Linked DNA regions of Arabidopsis thaliana. The protein of the gene in region 1 interacts with the protein of each later gene in a pairwise test. Each region holds a gene or a part of one and is shown in the gene's direction. Other genes may lie near its edges.

Evidence for each region.
Region 2: the proteins of MHK (region 1) and AT2G46900 interact in a two-hybrid assay, tested with the Arabidopsis thaliana proteins (one large-scale study listed by BioGRID).

The regions. Positions count from the first base shown.
Region 1 is NC_003075.7:7,601,552-7,608,404, forward strand, and holds MHK (Protein kinase superfamily protein), read left to right. Parts: upstream 1-1,549; 5' UTR 1,550-1,760; intron 1,761-2,099; 5' UTR 2,100-2,395; coding exon 2,396-2,403; exon of another isoform or gene 2,404-2,463; coding exon of another isoform or gene 2,464-2,495; coding exon 2,496-2,574; intron 2,575-2,652; coding exon 2,653-2,721; intron 2,722-2,778; coding exon 2,779-2,895; intron 2,896-2,990; coding exon 2,991-3,129; intron 3,130-3,216; coding exon 3,217-3,319; intron 3,320-3,421; coding exon 3,422-3,474; intron 3,475-3,662; coding exon 3,663-3,729; intron 3,730-3,834; coding exon 3,835-3,943; intron 3,944-4,029; coding exon 4,030-4,095; intron 4,096-4,208; coding exon 4,209-4,277; intron 4,278-4,366; coding exon 4,367-4,424; intron 4,425-4,516; coding exon 4,517-4,621; intron 4,622-4,710; coding exon 4,711-4,745; intron 4,746-4,830; coding exon 4,831-4,876; coding exon of another isoform or gene 4,877-4,902; exon of another isoform or gene 4,903-4,971; coding exon 4,972-5,050; coding exon of another isoform or gene 5,051-5,054; exon of another isoform or gene 5,055-5,125; coding exon of another isoform or gene 5,126-5,128; and 3 more. Other genes in the region: AT4G13010 (Oxidoreductase, zinc-binding dehydrogenase family protein), read left to right, coding at 1-54, 157-248, 327-1,016; AT4G13030 (P-loop containing nucleoside triphosphate hydrolases superfamily protein), read left to right, coding at 5,849-5,873, 5,946-6,006, 6,107-6,283, 6,402-6,571, 6,654-6,834.
Region 2 is NC_003071.7:19,267,423-19,273,270, forward strand, and holds AT2G46900 (transcription factor-like protein), read left to right. Parts: upstream 1-2,135; 5' UTR 2,136-2,255; coding exon 2,256-2,414; intron 2,415-2,652; coding exon 2,653-3,173; intron 3,174-3,278; coding exon 3,279-4,199; intron 4,200-4,282; coding exon 4,283-4,565; 3' UTR 4,566-4,841; downstream 4,842-5,848. Other genes in the region: AT2G46890 (3-oxo-5-alpha-steroid 4-dehydrogenase (DUF1295)), read right to left, coding at 138-401, 488-712; AT2G46910 (Plastid-lipid associated protein PAP / fibrillin family protein), read left to right, coding at 5,005-5,157, 5,232-5,354, 5,447-5,581, 5,667-5,762, 5,841-5,848.

The DNA.
Region 1 (6,853 bases):
TTCAGAAAGGAATGATCCGCCCATTTCTGCCCCGCAAGTTCCCCTGCATTCCAGGTATTCTAATAGCTTTGAAGATTTTAGTTTCTGTATAGAAGAAAGAGGTTACTTTGCTTAGAGGTCGTTGAGTTTGGAACCTTTGATATTTGTTTTGAACAGCTACTGATGTTGCTGGAGAGGTCGTTGAGGTTGGATCAGGAGTAAAAAATTTTAAGGCTGGTGACAAAGTTGTAGCGGTTCTTAGCCATCTAGTAAGTTTTTTCAGACAGACAAGTAGAAACTTTAATTACCTTGAAACATGTTAAGGGAAACTGATTTTGTTCTTTCAGGGTGGAGGTGGACTTGCTGAGTTCGCTGTTGCAACCGAGAAGCTGACTGTCAAAAGACCTCAAGAAGTGGGAGCAGCTGAAGCAGCAGCTTTACCTGTGGCGGGTCTAACCGCTCTCCAAGCTCTTACTAATCCTGCGGGGTTGAAGCTGGATGGTACAGGCAAGAAGGCGAACATCCTGGTCACAGCAGCATCTGGTGGGGTTGGTCACTATGCAGTCCAGCTGGCAAAACTTGCAAATGCTCACGTAACCGCTACATGTGGTGCCCGGAACATAGAGTTTGTCAAATCGTTGGGAGCGGATGAGGTTCTCGACTACAAGACTCCCGAGGGAGCCGCCCTCAAGAGTCCGTCGGGTAAAAAATATGACGCTGTGGTCCATTGTGCAAACGGGATTCCATTTTCGGTATTCGAACCAAATTTGTCGGAAAACGGGAAGGTGATAGACATCACACCGGGGCCTAATGCAATGTGGACTTATGCGGTTAAGAAAATAACCATGTCAAAGAAGCAGTTAGTGCCACTCTTGTTGATCCCAAAAGCTGAGAATTTGGAGTTTATGGTGAATCTAGTGAAAGAAGGGAAAGTGAAGACAGTGATTGACTCAAAGCATCCTTTGAGCAAAGCGGAGGATGCTTGGGCCAAAAGTATCGATGGTCATGCTACTGGGAAGATCATTGTCGAGCCATAAGAGCGTTGTAGCCATCTTTGACTGTCTGTGAATGTGATAATAGATGTTAAAAGTTTGCGTACCGTTTACAGAATGTTTTATGTTGTTTTGTTTAATATACCCGAGTATGTCGAAAGTTACATGAAAAGAAAATTTGGATGAAATAAATAATACTTGTTAGGTATTTTAGTTTTACCATACCGCTGAAGTTGAACCGAAACTGAGCATGGAATCGAATAAAACAGACCCAACAACATCATAAAGCCCAATAGCCCATTAACGACTTCGTCAATTCCCCTATCTTAAAAAGACTTTCTCCAGTAGAATCTTCCGGTAAATAAAACAATAGTCGAAGGAGATTTCCGTCATTTCAAATGGTAAGAAAACCAGAATTATTTAATATCACTCTCTTAAGGGACCACCGTTGCCTTCCCCACCACAACCAACCATTTTCCTCCATTTTTTTCTTTTTCCTTATTAATATTTTAATAATAATACAAAAATCAATAATTATCTTCTTAAATATTTAATTTAATTAATTAATTATGTATTTCGTTCTTCTTCTTCTTCTTCAATTTCTTCTTTCTTCTCCCATGGCTTCCTAAACAATCTGCTATTCCTCTCTCTCTTCTTCACCTATAGTTTATCTCTTTTTTTTTGTTTTGGCTTCTCTTAAATTCACTTTCTCTAAAACATAAACGACATTGATGTTTCTTCATCAGATCCTTTAATTCTTCTCCAATTCTCATTCTCCTTACATCAATGGTGAGAATTTTTTTTTATAGATTATGTTTTTAATTCTTGTGTTCATGTAAGATTTTTTTTTTTTTTTTTTTTTGTGTTTTATTGTTTTCTTAATTCCGATTGGATTTGTTTTTTGTTTATTTTTCTCAATTTTATCTCAATTTCTTGGACAAATTGATCTTTTTTTACTCTACAAATAAATAAAGTTTGAGACTTTATAGCAGAATCTTCATATGTAGCAATTGAAGATTTTTTTTTCTTTTCTAAACCGATCTAAATAGATTAAATCATCATTATTGAAAACAAAAGATTTTGTTTTTATTTTGATTAAATCCTTTTTTTTTTTTTTTTTTTTTGCAGATAAACTTTGTAGTTGGAGATTTGTTGTGGATGAAGATTATTGATTGCAGCTTATAGGAAGCTGCTCTTTTTGTTTTGAACAATGTTGCTAACTTTTCAGATTCTTATAATTAATCAGTCTTATGATGAGAAGTTGGTTCTTGATTACATACTACAATCAAGAAGTAAACAGTTTATGCAATCTTGTGACGGTTCTTGTGTTCAAAGAGTAGATACTTGTTCTTCAAGGTGGAGGTTAACAGAGGACAATTGACGGGGTTTTTAATCGTTGTTGTATTGCTCGAATAAACGGAATCATGGAAAGGTTTGTTCTTGTTCTGTTCTTGTTGTTGTTTGTATATATATTGGACATGGTGAGAAAGTGATGATGGTGTTTGTGGTTTTTGTTATGTGTAGGTATAAGATTTTGGAAGAGCTTGGTGATGGTACTTGTGGTAGTGTATATAAAGCAGTAAATTTGGAAACATATGAAGTTGTAAGTTGTTGAAAGTTTCTCTCTTTCGCTTATCTTCTAGTGTGTAGCTGATTCTATCTCACCTTGTGTTTTCCTCAGGTTGCTGTTAAGAAGATGAAGAGAAAGTTTTATTATTGGGAAGAGTGTGTGAATCTGCGAGAAGTTAAGGTGCGGCGACTCTGTGTCTGTTGTTTACTTTCTGTTATGTCTATGTTTGTGTTCAAGGATGGTGATGTAGTTTTACGTTTGCAGGCTCTTCGTAAGCTAAATCATCCTCATATCATAAAGTTGAAGGAGATTGTGAGAGAACATAATGAGCTTTTTTTCATCTTTGAGTGCATGGTAAAGGCGATCTCCGCTTTTTTATCTTCTGTAGGATTTTTTAGTCTGATGTTAGAGAATATATTCTCATTGTTCTTGGATAATGATTTGACTAGGATCACAATCTGTACCATATAATGAAAGAAAGGGAACGACCTTTTTCTGAAGGAGAAATAAGAAGTTTTATGTCTCAGATGCTGCAAGGGCTCGCACACATGCATAAAAACGGTTATTTCCATCGAGACCTGAAACCTGGTATGTTTTGGTACTTTGTATTGTATTAATTGAAATGGTTTTCGCTCTTTGAATGTCTTATAAACAAGTTTTGTTCTGTTTCTGAAGAGAATTTGCTGGTGACCAACAATATCCTGAAAATTGCTGACTTTGGGTTGGCTAGAGAAGTTGCATCTATGCCTCCTTACACTGAATATGTGTCCACACGTTGGTAAGTGATTTCTCTTTGATATTGCCTTCGCATTCATGCATGAAAGTATGTGGTATAAGGTGATATCGACGTATACCTTATTATTGGCTCTGACTGCAACAGGTATCGAGCTCCAGAAGTTTTGCTACAGTCTTCATTATACACTCCTGCAGTTGGTATGTTTGCGAAATCCTTTTGTGCCTCATCACATTTCATTAGTATCATGTGATCATGTCAAAAGTCTAGCTAAACCATGGCTAATACTTCGTGGCTTTGAATAGTTTAAGACATTTTTTCTTTCTGTTTTGTCATCTATTGGATCGCTTTGCAAATCTTTATAGACTAACATTTAAAAGAACTGCAGACATGTGGGCAGTTGGAGCGATACTAGCTGAGCTTTACGCTTTAACTCCGTTATTTCCTGGTGAAAGGTGAATTCATTTCCCTTTCAAACGATACTAGCTGAGCTTAATCTGTGTGCACACTTAAGATAGACCATTTAGTGAAAACTGATATAATGATTTCTTTATGAGTAGTGAGATAGATCAATTATACAAAATCTGCTGTGTTCTTGGCAAGCCGGACTGGACCACGTTCCCTGAAGCGAAAAGCATATCTCGAATTATGAGTATTAGTCACACAGAGGTAAGAGTTCTTAATGAAAAGATAAGAGGCTTATTATATTAACTGCACTTCAATATTGACTTTGTTCTTTGAATATCTTGTGACAGTTTCCGCAGACACGAATTGCTGATTTACTTCCCAATGCTGCTCCTGAAGCTATTGATTTGATCAATGTGAGTTCTTGTGTTCACTCTTTTTGCGGATATTTCTTACCATTCTTAAGAATGTTGTGATCTTTCAATATCTTTATTTCGTATATCATCTGTTTCTTTTTTTGAATCAACAGCGACTTTGCTCATGGGATCCATTGAAACGACCAACTGCTGATGAGGCACTAAATCATCCATTTTTCAGTGTAATTTGAATATTCCCTTGCTTCTTTTGATTTTATCACACACTCCTCTCTTTGTAATAATCGAAAATGTAATGATATATTCGGAACAGATGGCTACGCAGGCTTCATATCCTATCCATGACCTTGAGCTGAGGCTTGATAATATGGGTGAGGCTTTATTTTTCTTTGTTAATCTGCTTCGTATAGTATGCTTTCATGACCATAAGATTAAGTTCAATTATATTTGTGGTATTCTGCAGCGGCGTTGCCTAATCTTGAGCTAAATCTCTGGGACTTTAACAGAGAACCTGAAGAATGTTTTCTTGGCTTGACACTAGCTGTGAAACCAAGTGCTCCCAAACTAGGTAAGTATCATTCCCTCGTGTAGAGTTGGTCACTAGATCTGACACAAATTGACATTGACATTGAGCATGGTTTCAAATATTGTTTGCAGAAATGCTCCGCAATGTATCTCAGGACATGAGCGAGGTAAGCTCATACGCAATGAACGTCACTTATATAGCATTGTTAAACTTTTCATGAGTTGTAATAAATCTGTTGTTTACAAAAGCAGAATTTTCTCTTTTGCCCCGGGGTCAACAATGATCGAGAACCATCAGGTGATGAAAACTTGAGCATATGTTGATAAAACTGCAGATTTCTGTTATATTTCTCTGTGAAAGGTTGTTGAATATCTCTCTTTGAACATTTACAGTTTTCTGGTCTCTGCTCTCTCCTGATGAAAACGGCCTCCACGCGCCAGTTGAATCATCTCCTTTATCTTTGTCTTTCAGGTGAGATTACAAGTTGTCTCTATGGATCCATTAATGTGTAAACAGATTTGCCTAATGAGAAACATTTACTGTGAGCAGTCCAATGCAGCAACACACAGTTGGACCTCCACAGTCGAGTGGCTTCACAATGACATCATCAATGCAACCGAATATGTTGGACCGCCCGTGGATGGCCGTGTCTGCGCCGTTTCAACAAAGTCATTACCTCTGATCTAATAAACCCATACCCTAGTAAAAAAAGTAAATAACACAGAGGTTTGTCAGAAAGATTTGAGTTTAAAGAACAAGATAGCAAAACAAAACAGAGGAAAGGTGTTAGAATTTTCATTTTTTTTGTCACCAATTTGTTCTTAATTTGTAAAAATTTGGTTTGGCTGATGCATTTTCCTCTCAGAGCTTGAGCTCTATCAATATCGAACAAATAATTTCCTTATTCTTGTCTCTGTATAATATATGATAAAAAAAGACATTGAAATCTTGATGTGGCATTACCATAAAGAATTACGTTTCATTAATGTTGGTTCTGTCGTCTTTTAATATAAAAGTCTTTAACTTGTGAATCTGTCTTATCTACAAGAAAATTTAAGACTATATTTATTATGTTAATTACGATACTTATTTTAATCTATATTTAGTAAAGCGAACAAGTCCTACAAACAAACCAAAGATATTGAAAAAAAGTCACTTTGGAGATAGAACAGAATATAAAAAAGATTCTTTAAATGATCTTTTATCAAAACAAGATTCTAACAAGTCTTAGAAATCTCAAAACGAAGAACAAGTAAGAAGCTTGTAGCCATGGGTGGTGATACTTTCAAAGATGGTAAATTTTTTGATCTTTTTCTTTGAACTGTGTTTGCATGTTTGATTTAACGAAAAATAAATTATTTTTAAGATGTTGTAGATGAAGAATCTTCAAGATCATCATCATCATCTCCTTGTTCTTGTTGTTTCAGGTATATTATTATTTAATCTTTATCACTAATTTTTGTTGAGTATGATCATAATCATAATCAAGAAAGTGATGGTGGTTTTTTTTTTTTTTTTTTGGTGTAGCAGTGATGATTTAGGGTTTAAGGATGATGTTTCTGAAGAGAATTTCACCAATTTCTCTAATCATGTTACTGATTTGAGAAGGAGAGAAAAAGCTTACCAAGAGATTCTTCAAAGTCATGATCTTTTGCTTAGAACCAGCAAACGGAAACTTAGACAAGCCAGAAATGAGATTTTGAGGTATTTTTTATATATATTTAAATTCAATTCATTTAGGGAAAAGTTGTGTTTGTTCTACTTGGTGATCATACAAACTCAATTATGTTTTTGACTATTATTATGGTTGATATATGCATAGCTATACTCCTGGATCATGGTCTGATGTCAAGTTGAGTGATTACAATATTCCAAAAACGACATCGATCATGCTAGTTGGTCCGAAAGGGGCTGGGAAGAGTAGCCTTGTTAATAAGATTACAAGAGTGATCGAAGACGACGCGTTTCTCCTAGATAGAGCTCAAGAATCATGTAAATTAAGTATATATGTGTTTGCTATAGTTTCTATTTTAAAGGTGAGATTACTGATGTTTTTTGCGCTCTCATATCGCAGTTGGTACCCCGTCTAAAGGAGGAACATACTTTGTTCAGGAGTATATGATCTCGAGAGGAGGTTCCGCTTCATTTTGCCTATATGATACGCGTGGATTGAGCCGTATATCATCGTCTGATAACACTAGTATGATTGAGCAATGGATGACAAGGGGCGTGCTTCACGGCGAACCTGTCATCTGGTTTTGATTCTATCTTGAT
Region 2 (5,848 bases), on another chromosome or scaffold:
TATATATAAAGGTAACAATGGTTCAAGCCCTTATAACCAAAAGACTATCCTGTTCTCCAAATCATCCTCATAAAGGCAAGCTTAGATTAAAAACGAGCTCTTTGAGGCAATTCATCGAACAGTTGGTGGTCATGTACCTGCTGAGAAACGTAGACAGAGAAGAAGGAGAGCCACCACCAGTGTTTCCCGTACTGTTTCCGTAAGTCGTTGAACCTCCAGTCTTCTCTAGCTCCCCATTCCCAATTTTCCCGCCGGAAGTAGTTATGAGTCAACCTAATGCTCCAAATCCATGTCAGAGTTATGACAATCATGGATCTCAGCTTATTGTACTGTGACAATGGATGCGAAGCGAAGTAATGAACCAGCATTACAGGTATCACTGTCCAATACACATCGATCATCTGCAAAATTAACGAATTTTTTCAAAAACTAAAAAATTGCGAATTTTAACAAATGGGTAACAGATTTGGAGACTATGGATGCGTACCCAGTGGCTAGATTGGAGTAAACCGATGACCCAGAAGAGCACATTGACGTTTAAGAAGAAGAGAAGGTTTGCTAATAGAAGAGGATGATTCAAACACCATGATTGAATAGAAGAGAGCTCTGAATCGGAAGATGAAGAGTAATTACTGAGAAAGGTGAGGTAGAATACGATAGAAGGAAGTGGAGCAAGAAATGCGACAATGGCGTTTCTAAGATTCCGATTCATTTTCTCTCGAATAAGTCGTTGATGTTGGGTTGGCCTGTAGGAAGGAGAAAGAGAATGCAATTTATAAACTGAGCTTAAAGAATATCTTTGGACTTTTGGGTTGGGTTCTTTGTGGCGTGTATGGGCCCATGTTGGCCCACTTTGATCACTGATATGATTAGAGTCTTCTGTTTAATTATACTTTTGGTGAAAATTAAAATATGATCAACTGTAGATAAAGATATTAGCTTTTTGTAAAAGAGCCGAAAAAGTCAGTAATGAAGAAAATAATTGGACTATGATTTTGTATCGTAATGATTATGGTATGAGATTTCTGACTATTAAGTAATGAAAGTAATAGTGTAAAATATATACATTAAACAATATAAACTCAAAAATTATGAAATGTAAGTGGTTAAGCAGAAATAGGGACAAATGATTAACAAATTTCAGAGCATGGGGAAAGGGAATCGCAATAATAATAACTAGGATTTAATCCGCGGTAAACCGCGGACAATCGGTTTATTTGGTTTTTATACTAAATATTTGAATAAATTTGATATTTTAAATTTATAAATATAAATTTTTTAATCAAACATAATTAAATAATAATTGGGATTTTTTTTTGTTGTTATTTAGTGATAAGATAAATGTGTTAAAATGTGTTTAAAAATGTGTATGTAATTTTAGTGAAAGTAAAATATTTACAAAAATGTAAGATTCACAAAATTGGTATAATATTTTTTATGATTATAAGTGTTTTTTTTAACTATTTGACAGGTTATACACTTTTTTGGCAAAATAAAGACCATATGAATTATGTTATTTATAATTATATGTCTTTAAAGTGAAGATAAAAAAATAAAATTATTTCACTTATTTTTGTTGAACGGTTTAGATTGAAGGGAATTAATTTTATTGAACGGTTTAGATTCAATCAGATCATATAAAGTTTAGAAGATTATTAAGACCAAATTATCTTTAATGATTTTGAATAGCAAATAACAAAATCCAAAATTGAAATCAAAATTGAGGCCAAATTAGACAAAATTTTACTTTGTACTTCCCCTTTTAATAATAAGGGGATAGTGAATTCGTTATTACAATACTTTTTGAAGTAAAAGTGAAGATATCACTAAAGAGATACAATTTAGCTGTGCTCGTGGTGACTCTAATTATTAGCTTAGCCGAAAGCATTGGATTCTATAAATTAACCAACTTTATATGCGGTCCAAATTCGAACTTTAATATAAATTTATGCGCCAATTGTGTCAAGTAAAACGACGTCGTTGAGGTAAAAAAGGGATTGTAAAACGCCGTCGTTCTTTCTCCCGCATCTCGGTTGTTTTCTCTCTCTCCCGGAATAACAATCTACAGTTCTACCGGTTTAAATGTACCGGTTAAGTAAAAACCGGAAAGATACCTTGTTCTCCTAAAAAGGTTGAGAGAAGCGAGGGATTAGCGTGTATCGACGAGATAATCATCTAGTCGTCGGTGTCGCCGCCTTTCTCCGCCGTCTGAAATCGTCCTTGTTCGATTTTCCGAAGACGAAGCAGGAGAAGATATGTCTGGGAGGTTGCTGAAGAAGGTTCTCCAGGAACATGAAGATTCGAAACTTCAGAAACATCACGAAGAAGAAGAAGAAGAGGACGAAGAAGAATCAGGAGCCCGTTCTTCGATTAATCCATTCGATCTCTTGAACGATGGTGATGAAGATCCTGAGGTCAGTCTCTCAGATTTTGACGATTAGATTGTTCGGTAGATTTAGTATCTAGAATTTTATCCTCCTCCGTGTTCTAAAATAGCTAATGTGTTGATAAGTTTGAATGTAGATAGTTTCAATGGTTTGATCTTCAGATTCTTATGGTTTTTTATTCTGATGTCTAGAGCTGATTCATATTTTGTTGGTCGTAGGAGTAATGATTACAAAGTGTTTCTGTAACAATTGGGTTTGATTGCAGGAGATTGATGATGAGACTATAGCTGAGAAGAAGAACGAAGATGCGGATCATCAGTCAAGTGTCGCTGATCATGTGCAGCCGGTGTCAAAGAATAAGTCGAAGAAAAAGAAAAAGAAGAAGAACAAAGAGAGTGGCTCTAATGTGCCTAAAGCTGAAATGACTTTGGATGAAACTTTGGAAGCACTTGGTCTCAATGCTAACTCTAAGCAAGATAAGGTTCAGGAGACAAAACCAAATGCTGATTCTTCCAAAAAGGCTTCTTCACGATTTGTGTTGGAAATAGATTCCAAGTATCTGAATCTTGAGAACGAGTTGAGGAGAACGTATGGTTCAAAGGCTATGCGATCATTTGAGAGTGAGAGTGGCTCTCAAGGTGGTAGTAGCTCTAGACGAGGGGGAAGGCGTGGAGTCCATCATATCACAAAGACGGTTCTGGTATCTCCAAAAGAGAATTGGTCTCGATGGGATAGATCTTTCTCAATGGAGTTTCTAGAGACTAAAGATGGTAACAACTACTTCAGGTAACAATTTTTACAGCTTTTTGTTTTTTCGTTGGGTGTGTGTATAGAAAATACAGACATTGTAAATTTGTACATCTGATGAAATACTTTTCTTTTGATGTGTAGATATACCCATTCATCCTCATATGAGCAGGCTCAGAGAGCATTTCAGGCTGCACAAGCTATCCATGATTTGAATGGTGTAGCAAGTGTCCTTATACACAATCCTTACCATATTGAGTCGCTCATAACTATGGCGGATTACTTTAAGTTTGTAGGTGAGAATGATATGGCTGCAGATTCCATTGGAAAATGCTTGTACGGTTTGGAGCGTGCGTGGCATCCTATGTTCACTCCGTTCCAGGGTAACTGCCGGTTGGAGTTTAACCACGATGAAAACAAGCTGTTCTTCAAGACGCTTTTCACTCACATGAGAAACATGGACAGGCGTGGCTGTCATAGGTCAGCGTTGGAGGTCTGCAAACTCTTGCTTTCCTTGGACACGAGTAATCCTGTGGGCGCTTTGTTTTGTGTGGACTACTTTGCTTTGAGAGCAGAGGAGTATGCGTGGCTGGAGCAATTCTCGGAGGAGTACCGAAATGATAACTCATTATGGCTCTTTCCGAATTTCTCTTATTCGCTTGCAATAGCACGAGTTTATCTTGAAAAGATGGAGCCTACCTCTTCCTCAGAAGCCACTCCCAGAGATACTTCGAAGCAAAGCTCTTTGGATCTCATGACGCAAGCTTTGAAGCTTCATCCAACAGTACTCAACAAACTAGTGGAAAAAGTACCTTTAAAAGATCAGGCATGGACAAAGATACTCAAGCATTCTTACTTCCGATCAGATGAATCAAAGATCCCGTCTTTAGATCACCTCATCAAAATATATGTTGAGAGGAATTATCTTATATGGAGGCTTCCAGATGTACAGAAATTGCTTCGGAGCGCTGCTGATTTAGTCATTGAATCTCTGGAACAAGATGGAACCGAAGCTGAGAGCTGGCTTTGTGTAAGATTAGAAGCTTTCTCTTCTGAGAATAACCAGTAAGCGTTTTGAACTCTCACTCACTTGTCAATTTCTTTTTTTTTGGCTAGAGCTGATCACGTATGGTTCTAACCCATTGCAGGTACTCTCATTTATCAACCCATGATTTCTCTGATTCGATGCCAACTCTCCCACCAGACAATTTGCAGAACTTTGTGGCTGATCCAAGAATGGTGGGAGGAGAGCAAATGGCTGAAGGTGGCGGGAGAGGTCAACACCAAGCACCACCACCACGTCCACGTGATTTGGCAAATCGGAGTCCATTAGCTGTGTTGATTGAGTCAATACTTCCATGGGCTAATTTTGGAGATGGAGAGGATGAGATTGCACATGATGCTCACCACCAACCAGACAACAATGGCTAATCAATGGCTCTAACTGAAGAAAGAAGAAAACTGCTTTAAAGTTTACAAAATGTGGCCTTCCTTTTGTTGTACAGTGCCATTTTGATGGTTTAGTCTATGGATCATTTGTTACTTGGGTAAATCGGACTTGGTCATTTTCGATTCATGTTCTGGTGGAATAATTGACAGCTTTCATTGCTCAAAGGCTCGGTTAAGGTTTGAGCCGGTTCACGATGTCAGGTCAAAATACTGCCACGTATTAAAATAAAAAAATGAAGAGTAATTATAGAAAATAAAGCTGTCTCATCTTCCTCAGTTCTCAGTTTGTCACCATCCTCGAGCAGCTTTTGAGCTTTGAAGGTATCGACTAAATTATTATTATTATTTTTTTCTCCTAGACATTGTTACTCTTTGGGGATAAATTTTTTATCTTGTATAAGCTTATCCATCAGGTTCGAAAATGGATCGAATTGCGTCTGCGACTTTCTCTTGCCCTGCGATTTCATTGTCCCGCGTCTGTAGAATCAGCCCTTTTGGCTTAAACATTAAAACCAACCATAGAAAGAGATTCTCGTGTCGAGTAGCTGTAGCTTCTGGAGAGACTTCGGCCAGGGTTTGTTCTCTGCACATTTTTGTTTTTGGCTCGTCTGAAACAAATGATTTGAGTATGTTTCGGTGATAACTCAGGTCGTCGTCGACAATGAACTTGACTTAGAACACAAGAAACACGATCTACTGAGAGCTGTTCAAGACACTCAACGAGGACTCACTGCCACTTCTGATCAACGATCTATCATTGAGGAGGCTCTGGTACAGCCATTGCATTGGATACTGTTGATGTATGATATTGAGTGACGATGTTATATTCTTCAATGAGTCTGGATTTGGTAGAAACTTTTCAGGTGACTGTGGAAGGGTTTAATGGCGGTGAAGAAATTGATCCAGTGAAGTTAGATGGAACATGGAGGCTACAATATACATCTGCACCTGATGTTGTTGTTCTGTTTGAAGCTGCTTCAAGACTTCCCTTCTTTCAGGTATATACTACTAATGATAATGAACAAAGCAGAGAGAGACTTTAGTTTTGGGCTTCGGTTTTAATCCTGTGTGGATTTTGATCAGGTAGGGCAGGTCTTTCAGAAGTTTGAGTGCAGAGATAGATCCGACGGTGGGATCATTCGGAATGTTGTTCAGTGGAGTCTTCCAAGCTTGTTGGAGGTTTTTGCTTCTCTACTTGTAACCACCCTTTCAATTTCATATATGTCCAGACAGTTACTGTAAATGAATCCTTGGCAGGAGCAAGA